Linked DNA regions of Drosophila melanogaster. The protein of the gene in region 1 interacts with the protein of each later gene in a pairwise test. Each region holds a gene or a part of one and is shown in the gene's direction. Other genes may lie near its edges. The genes, in order: Syn, CG9646, Cpr49Ah and mRRF1.

Region 1 (5,540 bases):
GAGCGCATCTTGAAGAGAAACGAGAATAACTCAACTAACTCGCAAATTCGCGCATATTCCAGACAATTTAATACCATAATTTAAATGTTAGCTAGACACTCAACTAACTAAACCTATTTTGCATGAAGTTGGCTATAATCAGCAGTAGTTTTCCATCATTAAACTTCATTTGGTTTTTCGTTTTTGTTCACTTTAAAGTTTATACATTTTGCTGCTCTTTTCAACAGAGCGACGTGTGAGCAACACGTGAAAACAAGTTTTATGCAACAGCTCATTGTTTACTTATTGTTGTTGGGGTCGTTTGTAAAATGTGTTTATTTATTCGAAAAAGTTGTTTTTATTTGCTATTACTCAGCTACCTGCACTCCGCACTAATGATTATTACTTTTGAAACGCGTTAAAGCACTACAATTGTTAAATAGATTTAGTCGGGAACTTTCCGCTTGACACGTTAACAGTTCGAGAGATTGTTGGCAACTGAATCGCAGAGACGGAAATTGCTCTAAGCCAAGCTTTGCTGTTTCGGCTTGGCTGCTTTATTTTGTTTCTTCTTGTTTTAACTCTCTCTTTCTCTCGCTCTCTTTGTGCTGCTCTTTTTGGACACATCTTCGTTTGTTTTGGCCATTATTACTTTGCCTACTCATTCTGGCCATCGGAGGCGTTACCATATCGCTGGAAAAAGAATTTAAGCCATGGCTTTGGCGCCCAAGCAACAGCTCCCTTCGTCTTGGCCCAGTTGCTCTCTATTTTTATCAATTCGCCATGCTTGCTGATAAAAATATTACAATGTGCGTCAGTAACTCTAGGTGTAAGATCACTAAAAAAAAGTTTAACTCCTATTAAAAATATTCCAACAAATGAGAAATTTTTAACAAAGCCATTTCCTTGTTATTGTCAATATCTATTTTAAAGTATAATATCCAACCATTAGGAAAATGTTTTTTACAAACATATAAAATGTTTCTTGTTTAATAATTTAAAAACATTATAATTATGTTTTTTCAGAAACTATTTTTTGAAAAAAATGAATAATAATTCAAAAGTGTTGCATTATATTTGCAAGTACTAGATCTGTTGCTTACACCAAATTTTAAGAAAATTTGGCTTGCATGGTTGGTTTTGAATAGTGTATTATATAGTGGTGGTTGATGGAACTCGTAGCGTAACGCAGACTTCAATGAATCGATATGCCCGCAGGTTTCTCTTACTCACGCATGCGCACTAACTTCCAATGGGGTGGTCTTCGTAAAAGAGAGTAACCAGTGTTGGTAAAATATATAAAAATAACGGTGTATTTCAAGCAATTTTAGGAAGTTATTAATAAAAGCCTGGAAAATATTGAATCATATTTTAATTACTCATCCTGCCTGTCTATAAAACAACCAGTAGTGGATTATTAAGTATATATTTTACTATAAAATGCACATTGCACTGACTCTCTTTTCAAAACTCTCTCCAATATCTCTCCCTCTCTTTGAGTACTTACATGCCTTTACATTCGCACATTTCTTTTGGTGGGAAACTCTTGGATGAAAAGCCCACTCGCTCAGTGAAAATTTCATCACCGTCGTTGACAGTTCAGCCAAAATTCTCTAGCTCCACAAAATTCGCCCAGCCAAATCTCAAAATTATCTAAACTACATTTTTTGTTCACTTTTGATCATTAAAAGTCATCGCTTAACGTTCATCGGCCATTCGAGTGGAAATTTGTGAGCTCGAGCAGGAATATTCAAGTGAATTTTTAGCTCTTTTCGGTAAAGAAAAACGCAATTACCCAAAAATCGAAACACGGCTAAAGTGGAAAAAAAAATATATAAGAAATTTCTGTATCAGCTAGTCAGCGTTGTTTGCCCCCAGTGTGAGTGCAAGTGTCTGTGTGTATTTTGTGTGTGTGCGAGTGTGTGTGGGTTTGTGTCTGTGTGTGTACGTGATAAGCGTAGACAGACGCCGTAACAACAAAACTGAGACCCCGAGGTTAGAGAGGCACCATCGCTTTATTGAATTACAAGTAAAACAAAGAGCGCGACTTAGCTGGCGATTAAAGAGTCCTCAAAAGGGGAGAGGTGGAGGGGAAGTCGGAAAAAAAAGGGGATCCAAAGCGGGCGGTGGCAACCTGATAACCCACAAACCCACTGCCAGCGGGAGCCGAGCAAATAGTCCTGAGTGGCGGTTTTGATACTGCTAATTGCTTGGGAAAAATTAATTAAAAACCTTGGTCTCTAAAACTATTTACCACTGGTCGCTTGGAGAGATAATTCTTTATATTTCGCTTTAGATTCAACTTGTTTTTGATCTTAGCTATTGGTTCTGGGTAACTGAAACTATTTTTAAAACGAATTATCTTAGTTAAAGAACATCAGAAAATGCTTTCTGATATATCCAATAAGCTTAAATTTATACGCACAAGCCCAATTTTATTTCTTGAGTTCTAAAGTGGCAAAATCTTTATAGCTTAACTAAAAGCCATAAAAGTCTTTGACCCCAGACGGAAATAGCTGCCACAATTTGCGTGAGCCAACGGTACAATTTACTCTGAAATGCTTGGCAGTTTTAATTACCATCGAAAAGACATTACGCCCTGTTTTATGACAAGCCAACGCACATATCAACACAAAGCATTCTCGTAAGGGAAAAGCCACTGGAAAATGGGTTAAATGTGGCTGCAGGTGCTGCAGGTGCTGCAGCTCCGGATGTAGAGTCCTGCATTTACCCATTCCGCAACTCGTTCTCGCATTGCAGTTTATATAAAACGGTTGACAGAAAATGCAACTGCTTAAGCTGCCATAAAAGGAAACTTTAATTTGCCACTGACGTTGATGGATTGTGTTGCAACTTCGCTCTTACCGGGAAAATAGCCCAAGCCACCCACAAGATCGGGGGGTTAAGCCGGGCCATAAAGTTTTTCCAGCACAGATTTGTGCTGGGTACCAAAAAGTTGCGGGCAAAAACAGTCCAGAGAAGTTCCAAAGCCTCCGGAAAGGGCAACCCAACAGCCGAGACCCTCAACACGTTACTGTGATTATTAATTCAAAAAGTTTTCACACACACGTACAGCCAGGCAGCCAAAAGTAGAGGGATGTGTGCTCGTTCAGACAACACGGCGGATGAAAATATCCCGCAAACGAGCTGTACTGGCAATCAGCCGAATGGCAACACATGTATATCGATGCTAGACGGTTATGAATTATGCAAGAAATACCAGGAAGTTAAGGAGCCTGACCAACTTAATTTGGGCAAATAACGAGGACCAATCTGCTGGCTGGATAATTAAATAAGACTTAAAGTTGGCCAAATAAGTTTATCGAAAAACCGCTCAGTTATTACTGTTTTGATAGGCAAAATAAACAGAGCAAACAAACAATCGGGGCCATCAATAATGAAATCGATTTGTATAAGCTCTACTTAGTCACCCAGCCTGCGAGTTAGTCCGTTTCTGACGTGTGCTGAACTTTGACATTTGGGAACACGCTAAAGAAAATGCCAAATGTCAAAACTGTCCGTGTTGGAAAGTGCAGCTATCGCACAGCTTCTGGTCGAAAATCAGAGAATCCCAGCTCAGCTGTGTGTGGGGGCCAAAAAGTAAGTCACAGACAGAACGGCGTCCCTGCGTATACGTAATCTTCTTAGCCACAGCAACTCATTATTAGAGCTTATGTCATGAATGGATAAGGAGGAGTCGGGATTTTATTATCGGAAAAATTGGAAAGTCTTGACTTTGTAATGAACTTCAACAATGTATGTGCATCTCATTGGACCAGCAAGGACATCCTCAATTGTTTAACCCTAAAAAGTAGGCTACGAAAAGTTGCACAACCGCCTTGAATATTTTAGTTATGATAAGTGAATCAGCACTTTGCTTGCGACCTTTGGGACACATTAACGCAATTTTCCCGCACTTAGCTGGGACCGCAGAGGCAAAAGGCTTGGCCTGCTGATTTGTTTAGGTGTTATTTACACATAACATTTGGTTATTCGGCCGCAAATCTTTCACATTTTTTTCGTATTGCCTAGGGATGTGTGTTTTCGAGTTTTTCAGTGAGCGTTCAGTGGTGTTTGTATACTATGTCCTACATAGAGGCCACTGCCAGTGCAATGAACCAAAAACAATGTTTTGCTTGGCAGTCGACGGCAAAAAAAAAAAGAGAGCAACAAAAGCGACAGTCAGTCGTCCCTGGGGATGTTAACCAGTCGCTCGTCCGTTCATTCATTCCGCCATCCATCCATCCATCCAGTCGTCCCATTGCCTGGACATCCTCTGCCTGATAGCTGTTCGAGTTGATTTGCTCTTTGTGTTTTCCCTTTTCTTTTATTTTTCCGTATTTCCTTCAACTTTTGGCGATAAGTTACCGGACCGAAGCCAGCTAAATAAAAGGGTTTCGATGAAGTTCGTCGGGGGAATATGTGTGGCAGTGATAAACTTAAGGATGCAGTGGGTTTCATTTAATAAGAGAAAGTTAAGACTACATTTTTATAAATTTTTGTCATTTACCAGAAGTTCATTATGCGGGGCACATAATTGAACCTAGGTTGCTTTAGGTGTCACTCATTTAATTAAAAACATTAAGCTTTATAGAATTTAAGCTTTGTTGGAATCTTCCTCTGCTTAATATAATTCTCAATATATTTAATAATTAATAGAAAAAAAGAAAAAATATCAGAAAAAATTAAAAGATTAATTGTCCTTCCATTTAATTTAAAAGATTAATTCCCTACTTACAGATTAAAATAGCGACCGGATAGCCTGAGATTCGTCGTAGTAACGAAGCGAACCCCTGCGAAAACGGAGGCCAACTGCTCGACTTAATTGTCGACCACTGTCAATATTAGCGCCATCGCAACTGCTGGGTGTGGGCGAATCTGCGCCCCGCCACCGGTAAGACTGTTCCAAGATTCGTTCGCGCTTTCAGAACCCACTCATTTCACTTTGGCTTTTCTATATGGCACCCAAAGATATCACTCGAATCATATGGCAAAACACACTCACATATCTATAGCCTTGCTACGCTTTCATCAGCAAATTGCTTTTCAGTTTTTTCAGCTTCAATCTTTTTTGTTTTTCCACCAAGCTGCCCACTTGAACCTTTTCGCACACAAACACGCAAATTTACCCACAGGGGGTCGGTGTGCTGGTGTGTGCCTGAGACCAACATTATTATTATGTAGGGGCTGAAAAGTTTCAAGTGGCTGTAGGCCTGCGGGCCACGATAATAAATACAAAACGCACAGCGCCGTTTTGGCCACAAGTGTTTGACATTGTTGACTTGGTCCAAAAGAGCCCCCCAAACGCTAAACTTCACCACCGATTGATTTCTAACGTTATGCGCCACACAAAAGATCCTTGGAAATATAATGGCTATGCAATTTCAACACACTGGCCATTGTCCTTAAATGTCCTTGGCTTGTGCACCTGTTGCCGTTAGCTCGACTTTATACTCATGCCCACACGCCGTTCGTTTTAATGTTCTGTTCGTGGTGCTTATTTTAATTAAAATTAAGTTTGAGACACCTTAATTGCCATTTTAATAGAACTTTAGTTTTCA
Region 2 (8,377 bases), on another chromosome or scaffold:
TCTTGCAGACCGGATTTCAATGGAGCTGGAGCGGATTGAGTCCGATTTGAAGAAATACGGCAGATAATATCCCCATTTTGGGTACATATCTTATATCCACTTTGTGGCCCTGCTCCGGCAATTTTTAGTCTAAAACAAATTTGATTAGTCGAAGGGAAGCGAACACAATGCGCTCCCTTCAGTTGTTGCCACTTTTACATTGTGTACCGGCGACATGGTTCAACGTATGGCTGGGTGGGGGGAATCATTGACCAAGAAATAAATAAAGAATTGTCGTTCAATTAAAAATAAGTTGCCAGCATGGCGCTGGTTGTGTTGTCAGTATGCCAAAGGTAGCCAAAGGGAACGGGAAACAGAGAATGGCCGCAGTAACCGACGATTTTGCAAGGAAGTGCGAGATAAAGCAGAATGACACGCTGGGCAGGTGGGTGCATCTATAACCCATTTAAAATATTTAACCCCTGTGGGTTTCCCTGAAGATTTGCGGTTGCCCTCTGTAATGTTCGGGCTGGCGAGACCCTGCTGCTGGAGAATCCTATCGTGGTTTTGCCCCTAATGGGCGAAAGACGCTGCTCCAAGTGCTTTAATCTAACCGAGAGTTTTTGTCGGTAGGTGGACTCCATACAAATGTGTTATCCATTTACGAATCTTATGTAAACCCTTAGAAAGTGCCGTCTGTTAGCTTTGTGTGAGGATTGCTCGGATCATGACGAACGAGATTGCAAAAGGCTTGCTGAAATGAATTTTTCGGACGACCAGGTGGAGCTGCTTCAGAAAAAGGAGCACACCGAAATCCAGCCAGTTTTGAAATGCCTGCTGTTAAGAGAGCACGAGGAAACCCTGCCCTTGTACGAGGAAATGTCCCAAATGGATTCCCAACTTATGACTAGAAGAGGGACTGAAGTCTGGAAAAACTACCAGGAGCACGCATTTACTCCTCTGGATTATGGTGGAGTGCTAGCACAACTACGGGGTGCGGCGGATGAGGACCTAGTACAGGGTCTCCTAGGCATCCTGGACATAAATGCCTACGAGATAAGGGCCCCGGAGGTGGGTGGCGCCATGAGAGGACTGTATCGCCGGGCAGGACTCTTCGCCCACAGCTGCACGCCCAACCTGGTCATCTCAATCGATGACGAGCAACGTATAAAGGTCTACGCAAATCGGTTTATAGCCGCCGGAGAGATCCTTTACAATTGCTACACCAATGTGCTCCTGGGCACCGAGGAGCGTCGCAAAATCCTCAAGGTGGGCAAGTGCTTCGACTGCTCCTGTCCGCGATGCCAGGATCCCACCGAGCTGGGAACACACATGAGCAGTTTCATTTGCAGTCAATGCTCGTGCGTAGATGGCTACATAGTGCGTCAGCCGGATACCGGAATATGGCAGTGCCTTCTTAATCCGGAGCACACACTGAAACAGGAGTTTGTCTCGAATATGCTGGAACGTGCTAAGGAGGAAATATTTCACGCAAGGGATGATATATACCGGCAGGAGCTACTCTTGGCCAAGCTAAGTCGCCTACTTCATCGGAATCATTTCCTAATGCTCGATCTAAAGCAAAATATCGCCTCTATATTGCGACAGATTCTTCAGAATATGGGAACCCGACCAAATAAGAAAGTATACGAGCGGAAGATTCGTTTGTGCCAGGAGATATTGTTGGTACTTAAGGTCGTAACTCCTGGAATCTCCAGATTGAAGGCTATCGCCCTCTATGAACTGGCTAACACACAGGCCGAATTGGCCAGAAAAATGTATACTGAAATGGAGCACAGTGCCAATGACCTCCTGGTGGGAAAGTCCTGGATTTATTCCTTAATGTCAAATTAATGAAATTTTTTCTAGGCGGAATTGGAACGAGTTGAGGTCATGCTGCGGGAGTCTCTGCGAATGCTTCTATTTGAGCCACTGGCCACTCCAGAGGGCCAGCTGACGCGATCAATGCTTCGAGAGCTGAAGGAGCTGCAGGATGATATAAAAAATCTTCGGGAATCCGATGACGATGTGGTAAATCAATAAGATCTGCGAGTTTGCAGATTAAAACTGGTATTTGAATTCAATAAGCATTGTTTCCCATGTTTAACTAATGACTTATTCATGTGTATAGCATTCATCTTGTTGATTAAAAATTTGAAAAAAAAAGAGGATACAATATTAACTGAGCTAAATTTCAAATCAAATCAAACCGAAATTGTTAGGAATGTTCACGAACAATAGGAAATAATACTAGTTTGCATTACTTTTTAATGAAACTTTAAATCAATTTAAATTCGATAACTGATATAGAGCTTTAATCGAAGAGCCGCACGTTTGCTGTTATCGTTTAATTTACCGCTTTTGCAACACTACTGAGTTTATTTATTGTTATTTATCTTTTTTTTGCATTAAACAATAAAAGCTCAGCTAGACAAAAGAGTTAACCGTGGAATTTTCGACATTTCCGAATAAATAACACAAAGAGGCAGTGAAATTATGGGAACAGCTGATAACTGATAATACAGATGGGGTATGCACCGCGAATAAGGGATAAAACAACCCCCAAGTGGGAAAAAAACGAGGGTTTGCTGCTCAGTTGCGATTTGCATGTGCCGTGGAGATAAGGTGCTCCTCTGCACCGCTTGATTCTGCGACTGCAAAAAATTTCCAACCGTGGAGCAACAACAAATGCTGCAATATATACATCACTAGCCGCGTCCCCGCAACGTTGCCGCCACCCCCGCAAAGGCCGTAATGTGTTGGACGTTGTGAAATAGTAATACTCACCATTCTACATCGACATTCGTCATCCGGAAGCGCGGAGCCGTGAAAATCCCCCTTTAGGATGGCCCTCGCCAGTGCCGCCGCCGCCCTCTTGAAGGGTTCGCAGACGCCTCTGCAGCAGCTCCTGGAGGACATTAACTTCCAGCGCACCAAGGAGATGCGTCAGCTGCTCAAGGATGGTGGGTACAGCTCTAATCCGGACTCCGCAGCTCCCCGATTCGGTTCAAATAGCAGGGAAAATTTGTCTACATTTGCACTTTATCGATTTATCACAAAGGGCAACCCCTAAGGATGTGTATGCTTGTGTGTGTGCCCTGCTGCGCTTGTGTTTGTGTGTTCGTGCCTTTTCCGCCCCACTTTTGGCCAACCTCTTTGTTTTCCTTTACATAAGCGGCTTTTACTTTTATCGGCCCAAATGGCAGTATGGGAAAACCGCAAACAGCTGTTCACCTGTCGGTCAACATCAGCATCCCCCAGTTTCCCACAAGTCCTCAAAATCGAAAAGATAGAGCCGAAGCTAAGGTTCCTAGAAATATGATTGCCAAAACGAAATTCTCAAATTTGAATATACATAGATAGTTAATTATTTTTATGATGCAATTGAAGTTTGGGATTTAATACGTTCCATTTATAGAAGCTTAGCAACGCTTTTGGTCATAATAAATCTATATAACAAATTATGTAATACACTTAGGCATTTGATTTCATAACATTGACGCTGAAGCTCAGAAAGTTAATATTCTTATTATATGTCTCTTAGATGGCGGTTTCGTTGTCCTACAGGGCACCACCTACTGGACGGACCTGTTTGTGCGTCATTTCCTCTTCCAGACAGAGCCCGTGCACAGCATCGACTCAGACGACTTGCTCTTCTTTGTGCGCAAAAAGCACGTGAAGAGCTCCTCTCGTCACATGCCAAAATTTGAGGTGAGCATCAGGAATTACCATAAAACACCCATTGAACATATTCTATTCTTTAAACAGACTGAGGTGGAGGTATTCCGCAAGGACTCGCGCAAACTGCCCATCGGTGATCCTGATGTGGACTGGGAGGAGACGGTTTATCTCAACATGGTCATTCATCAGTTCGATTACACGTTGACACTGGCCATTTGTACAAGGACGTCGCCAAAGGAGTTGCAAGTGCTGAGAAGACATTCGCAGAGGGTCTACGCAAGCCCCAGTCGTCGGAAGATGGACACCAAGGGCGAAGGCGAGGAGATTACGTATCCGCACATCTGCTTCATGGTCGATAATTTCGACGAGGTGTTCAGCGACATTTTGGTGCGCGACGGGGAGATGGTGTGCGTCGAACTGGTGGCTAACGACAAAGATGGAGCAGTGCAAGGAGTGATCTTTTTGGGGTCCATACGCTATGATGCCCTAAAAAAGGTGTACGATGCCAGGGTATGACCAATCTGAATTGCTCTATGTTTTTCTATCCTAACTTTTACATTTTGCAACTTAGCAATCTAGTCTGAGTTCCAAGGTGGCGCAGCGCATGTCCTTTGGCCTGTTCAGCAGTGGAGCTGGTGTCCAAACGCGCTGCGAGTTTGTCCGGATGAAGGGACCTCAGGGAAAGGGACACGCCGAGATGGCGGTGACCAAGCCAAAAGGATCCGGTGTGGAGACACCCACCAGCGAGCCGGGATTCTGCGCCACTGACATGTGGGACGAGTGGGAGGAAGAGAACGACGACTATTGCACCTATCGACATCAGAGACGCCTTAGCGATCCTAGTGCCAATCTCAATAACTTCTCACGGTACGGGTGGCGCACGAAGAACTCGAATAACCAGGATATGGTGGGCAGTGGCACCAGCCCCAGTGTGGGAGCCAAGGCGCGATCGGAGAACGAGGGACTGGACTCGCTGGCTAGCGAGGTGTCCGAAATCGAGGCTGGAGATTTGCGCGACGGTCAGTCTGAACATGTACTTCTTTATCCTTGTTTCCTATTCATTTGAGCATCCTTAAGTTGCATGATATTTAGAATTGTATTACTGCTTACAGTTGTTGCCGTAGTTAAATTAAAGCTGCTTTTCCGCTTGCTCCTTTCATTTTCCGTTCATATTCCTGATTTACTTCTCGTAATGTGTTGTCGTTCCATTGATTTTCCTTTTAAAACTTCCAACTATCGAATTTATATATATACTTTAAGTGTGCCCCTAAGAACGACTCCAGAGTATATATATAAAGAGAACACCAGACATTGCCGAGAAAGCAGGACAAATAATACACTAAGGACAACCAAAATTATATTTCGTTTGGCTTATTGTTTGACACTGGATTTCGCTTTAAACGGGAATCGTTCACCACATTCCGTAGTCCCGTCCCTATTCCCAATTCCCTTTAGAAATTGTTTGGTGGCTTGACTGTATATTCATTAGACATCCATTCATCCACCTATTATCGATCGATCGCCTAGTTTATATTTGTGTTTCCCTATTCTGGTTTATTATTTCCACTGCTTTCTGTTGCCAATTATCGATTAAGTTGCTTGGGCCGATCATCGGTTGTACATGTGTGTCGATGTATATGCTTTTAAAACGCAAAAACCGATCTATCTACTTGTAGATCAGCAACGTCCTGCTTTCTCGGCCTCAGCGGCAAAACTGCACCCAAATCCGAACTGCGAGACACATAAACTCGCGACTGGTGACCAAGAAAAGTTGACCCAAGAATCTCCTAGAGAGAGTACTTCCTCTGCTCCAGCGGAAGTCGCTGTTCCTGCTGTTACTCCGCCTCCATTGAGTGCCGCCGTGGAGGTCACAGTTTCCGGGGACGTCAGCGTTACTGGACATAGCTCAACTACGGGCTGCAATTGCTTTGGTGGCAAAAAGTGTAAGAAGCGCTGGGCGTCTGCCAAGAACACGGACACCCCGGAAATGTCCGAGGTGTACTGCCCCAGTTGCGAGGATCCGTCCAACGAGTCGCCCGCCTGTCTGGCCAAGATGCCCGACAAGCGGCCCACCCGTCTCAAGCCAAAAAGCAGCATCCTGAGTGTGGAGAGTGAGCTGCTCGTGGGCAAAAGAAGCAGTTTCCGACTGCCATCAGAGATCAAACGCAAGCAACAGGGTGGCAGCATTACGAGGAGTGCCTCCCTGAGTGCTGCTGATCGCAGGACCAGCCTCCCAGTGGCCACCAAGAGGATCATACCTCCAAGACTGCGCACGGCCAAAGCCAAGGATCTCGAGAAGGACAAGGAGAAAGAAAAGGACAAAAACAAGGAGAACGACAAGAAGTCTTCAAATCAGAAGGTCAACGGCTCAGCTACCAACTTTCTGGCCAAGATGTCGCCCAAGCGGCTAAAAGCAGGCAAAGAGAAGGACAAGGACAAAGATGGAAACAAGGAGAAGGAAAAGGACAAGTTCAAGGCAATGGATGCAGCTAAGAAAAAAGCTGTTAATAATAACAATCCAAAGCCTGACATTTCCAAATCGGAGGAGTACGAGATCGCCGATGATGCTACCTCCCTGAATGGTAGTGAATCGGAACCAGTTGGAGCCGCCAAGATGGTTATCCTAAGTGAGAGCGACAGCAAGCTAATGATTAGTGTGCGTGGACGAGAAGAGCTGCCGGTCGTGGATTCGCCCAAGACTCCGCCAAAACGATTCGAAAAGTGTGTCAGCTTGCCTGTGGAGCCGGAGAGTCATCTGCTGCAGCCGGACGAGAACAATGAGAACGAGCAGAGCGATATTACAAACGTGATATCGCCCACGGAACTTACACCCATGCTGGATGTGGCCAATGGCAACGGGGAGGCCAATAGTGCTACTCTTCCGAGAACAGCCAAGCAAGCTCATGTCAGCAAGATGCTGCATTTGGTTCCCAAGCGCAGAACACCCGATGGCACTAACATCTACTATTGGTGCGATGTGCCCAAAAAGGCAATAAAAGGTTATTTCCTAGGCTTTTTACTTCAACTATATTTAATTTTTTTGTACTTCGATTTTCGTGTACTTACATTTCAATAATTCCGACTAACATAAACTAATTCCGTGAGCCTCTTATCTACTTTTAGAGCTCGACGATGGCGCTTATAATCCCCTATGGACCAGTCGAGGCTTTACGCAATCTTTTCATTTCTGGAAGGAGAATAGAAGACAGCAGTCAACGCCGCTAAATGCATTCCTCACATATGTGACACTGCCCTGGTGGAGCATTGCAAAAGGTGAGCTACTTGAAGACCTACCTCAAAAATATTCGCCATTCTGATGTAAAATACTTTTTTTTTCAGATCTCTTGGATCACCGGGAAACGCCTATTCTGACCTTTTAGTATTAACTTTATCTGGCAATTGTGATTTATATGCTTTATAGTTCTCACATGTATTCCCTATTTATCGATCGAATGTGTGACCAGTCTGTGTGATCAGTCCCAGTTTGATTTATCAGTATATATGCTATGTTCTCGACCAATGTTGAGTTTCCTAAGGCGAATCCTCACGATTCACACTATTTCGGGAGCGGAAAGCAAACCTACAAATTTATGAACTACAAACTACGATAGTGAGCTCTGTTACCGATGATATGGAAATATATAATTGTAATATTATTTGTAAATTGTACGGCAAAATTTATACCATGAAATATATACGGAATAGAAAAGACACGAGAGTAAAGAGGAATTATTGGAGGAGCCAATGGATGAAAGTCAAGACCATCTCGCGAGTAATGCTTGTAATCAGAGTTCCCGAAGCATCCGGCATCGGGTCGGTCGCTCGACTTGAAGATAGCTCTATCGCCTCTCCGGCTTGATTAGTCTGTTTTTGAGCCTCGCTGGAAACGGTCGTTGCTGCAGTTGAGCTTTGTAATCGAGTCAAGTGATAACGCGGGAAATAAAGCACTGGAGATGGGGCAATCGCTGCCGCTGCTCATCCGCCTCATCGTTGTGATCTGGCTGACAATTAGTATGGTCACCGCATGTCCCCGGGCGCCCACCCACTTGAACCACGGTCGACGCACACGCGGCGACAATGGATACAAATTAATTGTGGCCGATGGACCCAACGGCTATGTGCCCGGCAAGACGTATAATTGTAAGTCGGGAAGGTAGCTAGTTGGTTTTGTAATCATCGGGGTCATTCGAGAACTAAAAACAAAAGCCATCGAAATGATAAGAGAATCCAGAGCAGATGGTGATGTTGTCCATCTTGTCAGTCCAGTTGCTATTTTGATAACGCTTTCTGTGTTAATTTGTACCTAATCTTTTTGTAGTGATAAAGAAACTTTAAAGCATTTAGTTTATAAAACGTTTTGATTTATTAGAAAAATTTATTAAAATCAAAATATAACATTTATTGACAAATTGGTTAGCATTAGCTTTTCGGAATTCCTTTTTATTTAATAAATACATAACTTTATGTAGGGTTAGAAAAAATATATGTAACCATGACTAAATGACACATTGTGGCTTAAGAATGAGCGTTTCGCAAATGCTTTTCATAGTATCCCTTGTACTTGAATACTTTAATGCATTTTGTGCACTGAAACCGAACTTGGTGAGAAATCAAATGCTTTAAGTACTCTTTCTTTAAGATGAAAATATCGTCGCAACATTTGCAAAAGTAAGCAAAACTAACAGGTAAAAACGAGAATAGCTTTAAAGTATATCGG
Region 3 (4,542 bases), on another chromosome or scaffold:
CGTGATCTTTATGTCAAGTTAAGTTCCGCTGACGATTGGCTCAAAATCTCCACTAGAGCATTATTTACGAGTCAAGCTCAAGATTGGCCGCATCGACAAGGCATTTCATTTCACAACCGACACGGCAGCAGCCTGAATATTTATGGCCAGCAACGTGGTTCTGTTAGCCAAGTTGGCTCTCTGCCATAAAGCCAAATCCGAACGGAATGGAACGGAACCCAAATGTCAAATGTTGTTCATAAGAACGACAAATGCTAAGAATGTAAGGGTGAAATCGTTTGACATTTGCAGATGCTGCAATTTCCCCATGCCGGCAGCAACAGGTCAATGTGTGAGTGGGCCACAGTTGTGGGTAGTGGGATGGGGGTTCGGTTTCATGGTGAGCATTTGCGCATCTGTGGTGGTGCACTCGAAAGCTAACCTTGCCCAGCTTTCGTTTTTTATTTTCATTTTCGCCCGTGCGTGGAACTGCAACTCTACGAGTTGCACAACCTGCAATGCATCATCAGCAACAGCAGCAACATCACCACACACGGCAGCAACATTGCAAACCGGGGGCTTGGCGGGCGTTTGACTTGGTGTCGTGGGTGCGGAAGACGAAGAGTTGGCCAAAATACGATGGCCCAGAGGGAGGAGGAGTCGTTTGTCGCAATAGGCGTTGGAGTTTGGCAGCATTTCGGGCTTTATTGCCGGCACTTCGTCGGTTGTTGCACTCGCTGTATATTGTCCCTTGCAAGTTGATCGTCTCCTATGATTGAATTTTTCTCTTATTTCTTACAACGCCTAATATTTGTTTATTTGTTATCTTTGGCCGAAAATGCACTGTAGATTAACCCAATTGTTTGGCAACTAATTAACATTTGCCAAGACACGGGCCCGCTTTGAACTCAATTATCGTCTTGCCTCATCTGCCAGGCACTTTGGCTGTTACAACAATTCGCGCTTCGCTGGTGTTGGTATTGGGTCCGCCAAACTGCCGCAATTACAAGAATGCGAATCCAAATCTAAGTCCGAGTGCGAATCTCAAAATGAATCCGAAACCGAAGCCGCGAGGGAGCAGCATCTTGGATGCACTTCAAATGCGATTCAGTCGCAAGAGAGAGAGAGAGAGAGAGCCGACTGTCGCTTTTGGCCAAGTCAACAACGAAAGCAAAGCAAAAAAAACTCGTTCTGGCATGTTTCTAAATAACGGCATTGCGAAGATGAACGACCGGACGCGCTGGCGGGGGACGGACATTTCGCAGACATTTGAGCCGGGCCTACGAGCGGGCCAAATACGAACAGCGACAATAAGCCGGGCTAAGATGGGTGCCGGTATAAAAGGGGCTTAACAAGGCAAAACGACTCTTCATAAATAAGTAATATATAAGAAAGTTTAATAGATAAGATATTTTTAATATAAAATGTTTAAAAAAAACATTTCATAAGAATTTTCTTGCGTTAAAACAAAAGACTTAGGAAACGAACTTGTTATTTCAATAAAGTATCCCAAGATTAGGGCATGAGAAAAAGGGAAAAGGTCAGAAGCTATTAAAATTAAACATTTTTAGAGCTGATTTTGCTTTGCGAAAAGAAATAATTTGTTTTTTACTGTGTGCGCATTTGCAATTTTTTCGTTTTTTTTTCATTATATAATAATGACGGTATCAAATTTTACAAAAGGCGAACACAAATTATTAATCCAAAATTATTATGGAATGTTAGCTTTATCCTTATAGTTTGTCATAGTTCTGGATTCCTTTTAAAATCATACTGCCTCAGCCTCTGAAAAAGCCTCAAACGAGAGCGACAGTGAATTGTTTTTTTTTTTACGATTTTAGCATTTAAGCGTCGTCGAGCCTACGAACAACAATTACCGATCGGTCGGATCAGACAGCTAACAAAAAATAAGAGCTTCCATGGCAAATTCCACTTCCACTCCCATCCCCTCCCATCTTCATCGGCAACTGCAACTGCATATCCATCTGCAACTTCATCTCCATTAGAAACTCCATCACCAGCAGAAATAGCAAATGCACGCTCTCCCATGGAGGCTCACCTGTGTGGGTATGGACACGAGTGCAACAGGAGGATCGGATCGGGTCGGAGCAGAGCGAATCGCCTATATAAGACCAAAATAGGGCCGCGCTTGGCACAGTGTCTAACGGAGCTGCTTTCACTAGCCAGTGCGATCAGTGCCAGCCAAACGGGCGACAAAGCGGGCCAAATCAGTGGAATACAGTGGATAAGCGGCAGAGACTCCTTGCGAAATGAAAGTGCTCGTAAGTGGTTCACATAACCAATCACATAAAATCGGTCAAGTGATTCTCGATGAATGATTGGCAAACATTGCAACAGTTCGATCTTCTCAAATATAAAATTTATTGGTTTACATTACATCTAAAGGATAGGATTAAATATTCTTTTTTGTGATTACTTTGTTTGGAAATCGTAATGACTTGCATGTGTTAGTAAGCTTAAGCTAATATTTATCCTTTCAGATACTTCTTGTGCTGTTGGCCATTTCCTGCCAAGGACAACACCACCATCAACATCAGCACCAAAATGTGAACAACATACCACGCGATGACAAACCAGATCATCATCGTCATGAAGATCACAGAGAGACCAGCACCTGGATACCCATAATCAAGTACAACAAGGAGCAGAGTGACGATGGAAGCTACAAGACAGAATACGAGACGGGCAATAGCATCATTCATGAGGAAACCGGTTTCCTCAAGGACTTCGACACCAATCCAAATGGGGTGTTGGTTCAGCATGGCCAGTACTCCTACCAATCCCCCGAGGGAACTCTGGTCAATGTGCAGTACACGGCCGACGAGAATGGATTCAGGGCCACAGGTGATCACATTCCTACTCCGCCGGCTATTCCCGAGGAGATACAGAAGGGTTTGGATCAGATCTACGCTGGCATTAAACTGCAGCAGGAGCGTCTGGAGCAGAGGGCCAAGACAGATCCAGACTTTGCGAGGAAACTGGAGGAGCGACGCGTGGCCAACCAGAATGGCCAGTACATCGGTCTGCTGGAGAACCAATAGACGAGCTCCGCCCATTCCATTCCCCCACCGAACCGATGATCCTGGAAACGTAACTTCTTCGCATTCTATATCAACAACAACAAGACTGTGATTTCATTCTGCAAGCTCTTCCAAATCCAAATCGCTGTACCACACTGAATGATAATCGTTTAATAACTTTTGAATTTCCCACTAAGTACCATAAAACCAACAGACAGGGGCGCTCAATCAAATTAATAATATTTTATTAACGAGTGTGAAAGTTTCGCTGCTTTGAAACAATAAAAGTAAACTAACGTTTCCATTATGCCGAACCGACTTGATGATGGACTTACCATATTTTCTGGCATTATTTTTTTCCGTTTTACAGCTGACCATATCCACGATGTTCAGACAAACGTGACAAAGCGTTTATGGGTCCTCATTATTTTCTCAAAGTATTTCCCCATTTACCGTGCATCTTTCGTTGCTTTATTATTTACTTCGCAGATCGAATTACGTTAGTTTGTTGATCCCATTCCATGCAGGTTGGGTTTTCCAATTTTCCATATTTCTACATCGCCGCCATGGAAATTTTCTTTCGAGAGGAGTCTCTCGACTGGTTGCCAGTTGCATAATTACGACAGATTTTCCAGTGCCATTCGACTTGTCTTCGCGGGCAGGCGTTGCATGTGGAAAGGCTGAGGAAGCCAGTTGAAGTGGTCCACGAATGGGTTACTGGCGTAGCCCCGATTTCGCGCCGAGAAACCTCTTCGTTCTGCCAATTATTGTATTTAACGTAGGCTACCTTTACCGTTTGGCATTTCGAATGGAGTAGCCCTTGGCTACGCAAATATTGAAACCAAAAACCACTGTCATCAGGTTGAAAGAACAAACAACCGAATAACCTTTTGGGCCACAAAACGGCAAACGATTTGGCCACCTAACATATTTGCATATAACGTAAACACACTGACTATACTCTGCGGTTATTTCTAGCTGAATATAAATCAAATCCGCTGCATTTTCACCACCGCCGTAGAAACAGACCCCGAAAGCGGGGCCCCGAAGAATGTTTATTCGCCATTAAGTTTCAACGCTCTTGCGCATAATTAAGACGAAAAAAAAACCATATAATAACGAAGCCGAACAAAGGAAAATTTCTATGGCCCGTGATTAGAAAGAATCTTTCTTGTGGGCCTGTGCGGTGCTGGAATTGATTTGGCCAACTCAGTTGCCGTTTACAAGCCGTCGCGTGCAGATCGCAAATCGCCAGCAAAAGAGATACTTCCTCTACAATATACAATATCTATAAGAAAGCTGAAGATCGAATTCGCAAGAGCGTTACACCGAAAACTGGTAGCGATAATACAAATATTTGTTTGTGGGGAGTGAAAAGAAATGGGGAAGTGAAGTGGTTGATCGACAGAAAAGTGAAGATGTGAAGAACTGTAGATGTGAATATTACATTGACATCGAAGCAACGTCAAAGAAAAAATAGCAGAAGCCAAAAATTAAACAATAGATTGTTATTGTGGCTGCT
Region 4 (4,209 bases), on another chromosome or scaffold:
GCAGGCGATAAGAAACCCTGGCGACGAGTGCAGTACGGATACGATGGAGTGCCGACTGCTGCCTGGGCTGCTCCATCTCCACCAGCTGCCATACTGTCCATCCTGAATCCTCTGCTTGCACCGGGATTGCTTCTTTTGGGTGTGAATTTGGGAGCCCTGCTGTACATGCTGCTGGGACTCCTGGGCTTGGCTCCTTATCGCAGTGGCAGCGCCAGTCGGTTAGCCTCGCATCCGGAAACCAACTCCCAATTCTGGCCGTGCGATCAAAGCTTCTACCACCGAGACGACAGACACAATTTGGATGAGGGCAAGGAAACGGCTGTATATTTTTAGTTAGAGCGCGTAACGCAAAGCTTTCTTTCAATTTATCAAAACAAATATAAAAAAAGTACATAAATAAATTCAAGGTTAAGTAATGGGTCAAAAGAACGAAAAAACGAACGAGCTTAGGGTTTGGAGGAGTTAGTGTTCTATCTATATATATGGTTATAGCTATGGTTAATTTGAACATGAATCTGTCTCGGTCCTGGCGGAATAGTTGTTACTTCAAGGCAAACACAAGTTGAAACTAACTGAATGAGTTCATGTTTTCTACTTCTTCAGGCGGAACGAAGCAGCACGATTGAATTTGACCAAAGGCGGCTCCTTACTGGCCGATCCCAGCGGTTTTCTCGCAAGCGTCGAGGTGCCTGCAAGGGCTGTCAGTAAAGAATTGCATTAAAATCTCTGATTGAATAGGCACAGTTTGCCGAACTCACCTTTGGCCATTAGCGCTCGTGGACTCTTGCGCACATAGTTGGCGTTGTATTTTACGTTTTCCTTGGCCAGAGAAGCAGCCGCCAACGTTCTCTGAAGTCCTTGCGCCGTAAAGTGATTCGACTTGAGTAGAGCTGCAATTAAACACCAAAGTAATGAGCATAAAGTATTTCCGTCATGCATAAATGATTATGAGCCATGTCCACATATTAACAAAAAAATTTCGCTGCGATGAAATAGTTTATACATAATGCATAACATTTAGAAAGCAAAACCTTACCCTTCTTGATCTTTTCATTGCCACCGCGCACATTCTGATCGGATATCAGATCGCTGACCAGTCGCTGTTGGACGGTTCGCGGCTTGGTCACCGTCGCCGTGAGTGCCTTCCTTGCGCTACTGCTGCTAGAAGTACTGCTGCTAGAACTACTGCTGCAGGGACCCAGGACCTGCGTTTCGTTTAGATTTCGTGGCCTCTTAAACGTCCTGTGCAGCTCCTCGGAATCTGATTCGGTGTCCTGGCTATCAAAGTCCTCCATGCTCAAATGCAGATCGTCGTCGCTCTGAGCCGCTTGCCTTTGTCGCTTTTTGGCGCTGGCCGTGAGGCTGCATGTGGGCTCTTCTTCCTCCTGGGCGCTGCTGCGCAGAGCCACAGGCACCGCCAACGGATTCATCTCGGCCATTTTGGTATTGGCCTCGGAATCGGCGAACCGCATCTTTCGCAGCAACCTTTCGAAGACCGCCTCAATTTCCGGCGTCAGCTTTTGACCATCCTCGAGGCGATCGTACGTCTGGTTGAGCACTTCGCAGGCTGTTCGGAAGGACTTTCGCATCAGATCCAAGTTCTCAACCAGCTCCTGGTTAATTGCGTTCACGTGATTGTTAAAGATATTCTGCTTGGTCAGCTGCAGCTCGAGATCCTTGTACTTAACGTATACAATGAGTATCTGGTAGGCCTTTGATTTGTTAACCTCTCGCTTTAGACTTTCTAGATCCTGGTAGGCAATCTCCATTTTACTCAGCCAGCTGGGCAACTCCTCCTTGTACTTCTCCATCTGGCTGGTCAGTGTGCTCATGTAGTTCGCAAAGCGACGGAAGTCCTGAAAAGTTTATAAGAAAAGGGTATTTATGGTAATAATACATTTTAAAATTAAGTAATGAGTTTTTTTTTTTCAAATAAACCCGCCAACGTAAGCGTTACGTTACGTTAACATGCCTTACGTTTGAGGTTTGTTACGACGAATCGGAAAGAAACAGCTGATGCTGCCCAATTGAAAATCAGTTCCGCATTTAATCCAAACAAAATAGATTAAATTTAAATAAAATGCTGCGAAGTGCACTGCATTTAGCTGCCCTAGGAGTGCGCCAGACGCGAGTGTCGAGCTCCTCACCGAAATTACCTCTAATCCTGCAAAATAATCTAGAAAACACGAAATATCTACAAGTGGCGCGCGATTATGCAAAGGGCAAGGACAAAAAGAAGGAAAAAGGCGGCAAGGGAAAGCCGGGCAAGGTGGAAATCAATGAGCAGCAGCTGCGCGAGATCCTCAATTTCGATGGCCTGAATAGCCAGATGCAGAAGTCCGTGATGCAGATGAAGGAGGATTTTGTGAAGCACCTGTCGCTGCGATCCACCAGCGGTGCCATCGACACACTGCGCATCAAAGTCGATGGCCAGGAGCACGAGCTGCAGGAACTGGCCCAAATCTCTCGCAAGAATCCCAAGACCATCATAGTCAACATGATTGGCTTCCCGCAAACGATTCCCGATGTCCTCAAAGCCATCGAAAAGAGTGGCATGAACCTTAATCCCCAACAGGATGGCACTACACTGTTCATACCCATCCCAAAGGTCACCAAGGAGCACAGGGAAAATCTATCCAAGAATGCCAAAGCTCTGTTCGTCAAATATCGCGATGCCATACGAGGCGTTCAGAACGAACACATTCGCAAGCTGAAAAAACAACCGGAACTTGGCAAGGATGATGCCTTCGCCGCACAGGCTCAGGTCACTGCCATCGCGGATCGCTTCATCTCGGAGGCGGACAAGTTGCTGGCCAGCAAGCAGAAGGAGCTGCTGGGCGATTAGGCCTAAGACCAAGACTGATTCCGCTCCAAAAGCCTTAATAAATGTAAATGTTTAAACTTAAAAACTCTTGAGATGAACTTCCAGAAATAGAAAAACACTAGATGAGCACAAATTTGGACTCTTAGTACCATTTGAAATCGAAAAATCGAACTCACCTCCTGGCACACTCGCTGGTCGACACACATCAGCTTCCTGAACTCCTCCAGTTCTTTTTTCAGTGTCTGCCGGTAGTTGATGTTCTTGATCTTGCTACGCATACCAAGGACGTGCTCCTGAAGCTGCCGGGCGGCCGCATATACAGCGTCTATCTTGCTGTACCACGTCTTAAGCTCCAGCGGATCGAATCCACTATTGCCGGCGCGCTCCAACTGAGTGGCCTTGGCCTCCAGCGCCTTGTTGCGCTCTTTGAGTCGCTCGTTCTCGGCTACCACCTCGTCGATCTTCTTCACATAGAACTCGGTTGGCATCTTGGACTTGAGGACATTCTGTTTCAGAGTCGTGCGTATCTTCTTAGCTCGGCTAGCGTACTTAAGGGTGTTGTAGGTATCTTCATAGGTCAGTGAGCTCATCGAGACATTGGCCACCATCAATGTGCGACAATTTCCGCCCAACGAGTCCTTCAGGATGCGTGTCAGGTTCGAGTCGCGGTACGGGATGTGCTTTAAGCCGTCGGCTAGCTTGTTTATGCAATTTCCCAAAGCTAAGAGACTTTTGTTGATGCTGGCGCCTTCCTTGAATCGCACTCCAATGCCTTTCGTACTGGCCGCCCTCTCACTGCCCGCCAGATCGATCATGGATAGTTTGACCGTTCTTTTGGTGTCGGTCTTGCGCTCCGTGATCCTAATGTGCACCTGGAAGATGGCATGTGACCTGGAACTCTCTGCATTGGCATCTGTGGGGTGCTGAGTGCGATGAGAGTTGCCCAGCATCAGCATTCTTAGCAGCTCCTCGGCACTGTAGATGGGCGTGAGACAAAGACCACTGACCACCACGCCATTGTTGTCCTCGCGAAGTTTTAAAGGGCCCGATTTAGTTAGCAGATTCATCACATGTTCGTTGTACACCTCTAGATAGGATACCCCCACATCGAACTTGCGCACGTCGCTCTGCGCTTGGATCTTATCGAAGAGATCTTGCATGGTAAGATAGGTCAGACCCGGATGAGCCTCGCTGCCCAGCATTGTGAATGTTTTTCCGGCGCCAGTGGCTCCATATACAAATACCGAGCAGTTGTATCTGTGGGTGGTATGAGCGTGTAAGGATTCAAGTGGCTTTAGATAGCTAGCTATAAGGCATAGCTTACCCATTTAACACCGCGTCGACCAGCGGCGCCGTGCACTCCTCGAACAGATCCTGGTTGGAAT

The links.
Region 2: the proteins of Syn (region 1) and CG9646 interact in a two-hybrid assay, tested with the Drosophila melanogaster proteins (one large-scale study listed by BioGRID).
Region 3: the proteins of Syn (region 1) and Cpr49Ah interact in a two-hybrid assay, tested with the Drosophila melanogaster proteins (one large-scale study listed by BioGRID).
Region 4: the proteins of Syn (region 1) and mRRF1 interact in a two-hybrid assay, tested with the Drosophila melanogaster proteins (one large-scale study listed by BioGRID).

What each region holds. Positions count from the first base shown.
Region 1 is NT_033777.3:10,189,141-10,194,680, forward strand, and holds the start of Syn (synapsin), read left to right. Parts: upstream 1-1,548; 5' UTR 1,549-1,754; intron 1,755-4,719; 5' UTR 4,720-4,873; intron 4,874-5,540. UniProt on the Drosophila melanogaster protein: Plays a significant role in nervous system function, which is subtle at the cellular level but manifests itself in complex behavior.
Region 2 is NT_033778.4:17,046,486-17,054,862, forward strand, and holds CG9646 (uncharacterized protein), read left to right. Parts: upstream 1-2,389; 5' UTR 2,390-2,824; coding exon 2,825-2,942; intron 2,943-3,523; coding exon 3,524-3,690; intron 3,691-3,747; coding exon 3,748-4,170; intron 4,171-4,231; coding exon 4,232-4,679; intron 4,680-5,336; coding exon 5,337-6,659; intron 6,660-6,783; coding exon 6,784-6,933; intron 6,934-6,999; coding exon 7,000-7,040; 3' UTR 7,041-7,370; downstream 7,371-8,377. Other genes in the region: SmydA-7 (SET and MYND domain containing, arthropod-specific, member 7), read left to right, coding at 1-67; SmydA-6 (SET and MYND domain containing, arthropod-specific, member 6), read left to right, coding at 360-424, 480-608, 666-1,794, 1,849-2,022; fat-spondin, read left to right, coding at 7,614-7,800; tef (teflon), read right to left, coding at 8,176-8,377.
Region 3 is NT_033778.4:12,411,813-12,416,354, forward strand, and holds Cpr49Ah (cuticular protein 49Ah), read left to right. Parts: upstream 1-2,149; 5' UTR 2,150-2,249; coding exon 2,250-2,261; intron 2,262-2,480; coding exon 2,481-3,041; 3' UTR 3,042-3,358; downstream 3,359-4,542.
Region 4 is NT_037436.4:9,362,337-9,366,545, forward strand, and holds mRRF1 (mitochondrial ribosome recycling factor 1), read left to right. Parts: upstream 1-2,013; 5' UTR 2,014-2,080; coding exon 2,081-2,845; 3' UTR 2,846-2,904; downstream 2,905-4,209. Other genes in the region: CG34456 (uncharacterized protein), read left to right, coding at 1-333; Klp67A (Kinesin-like protein at 67A), read right to left, coding at 592-698, 759-890, 1,037-1,856, 3,001-4,081, 4,149-4,209.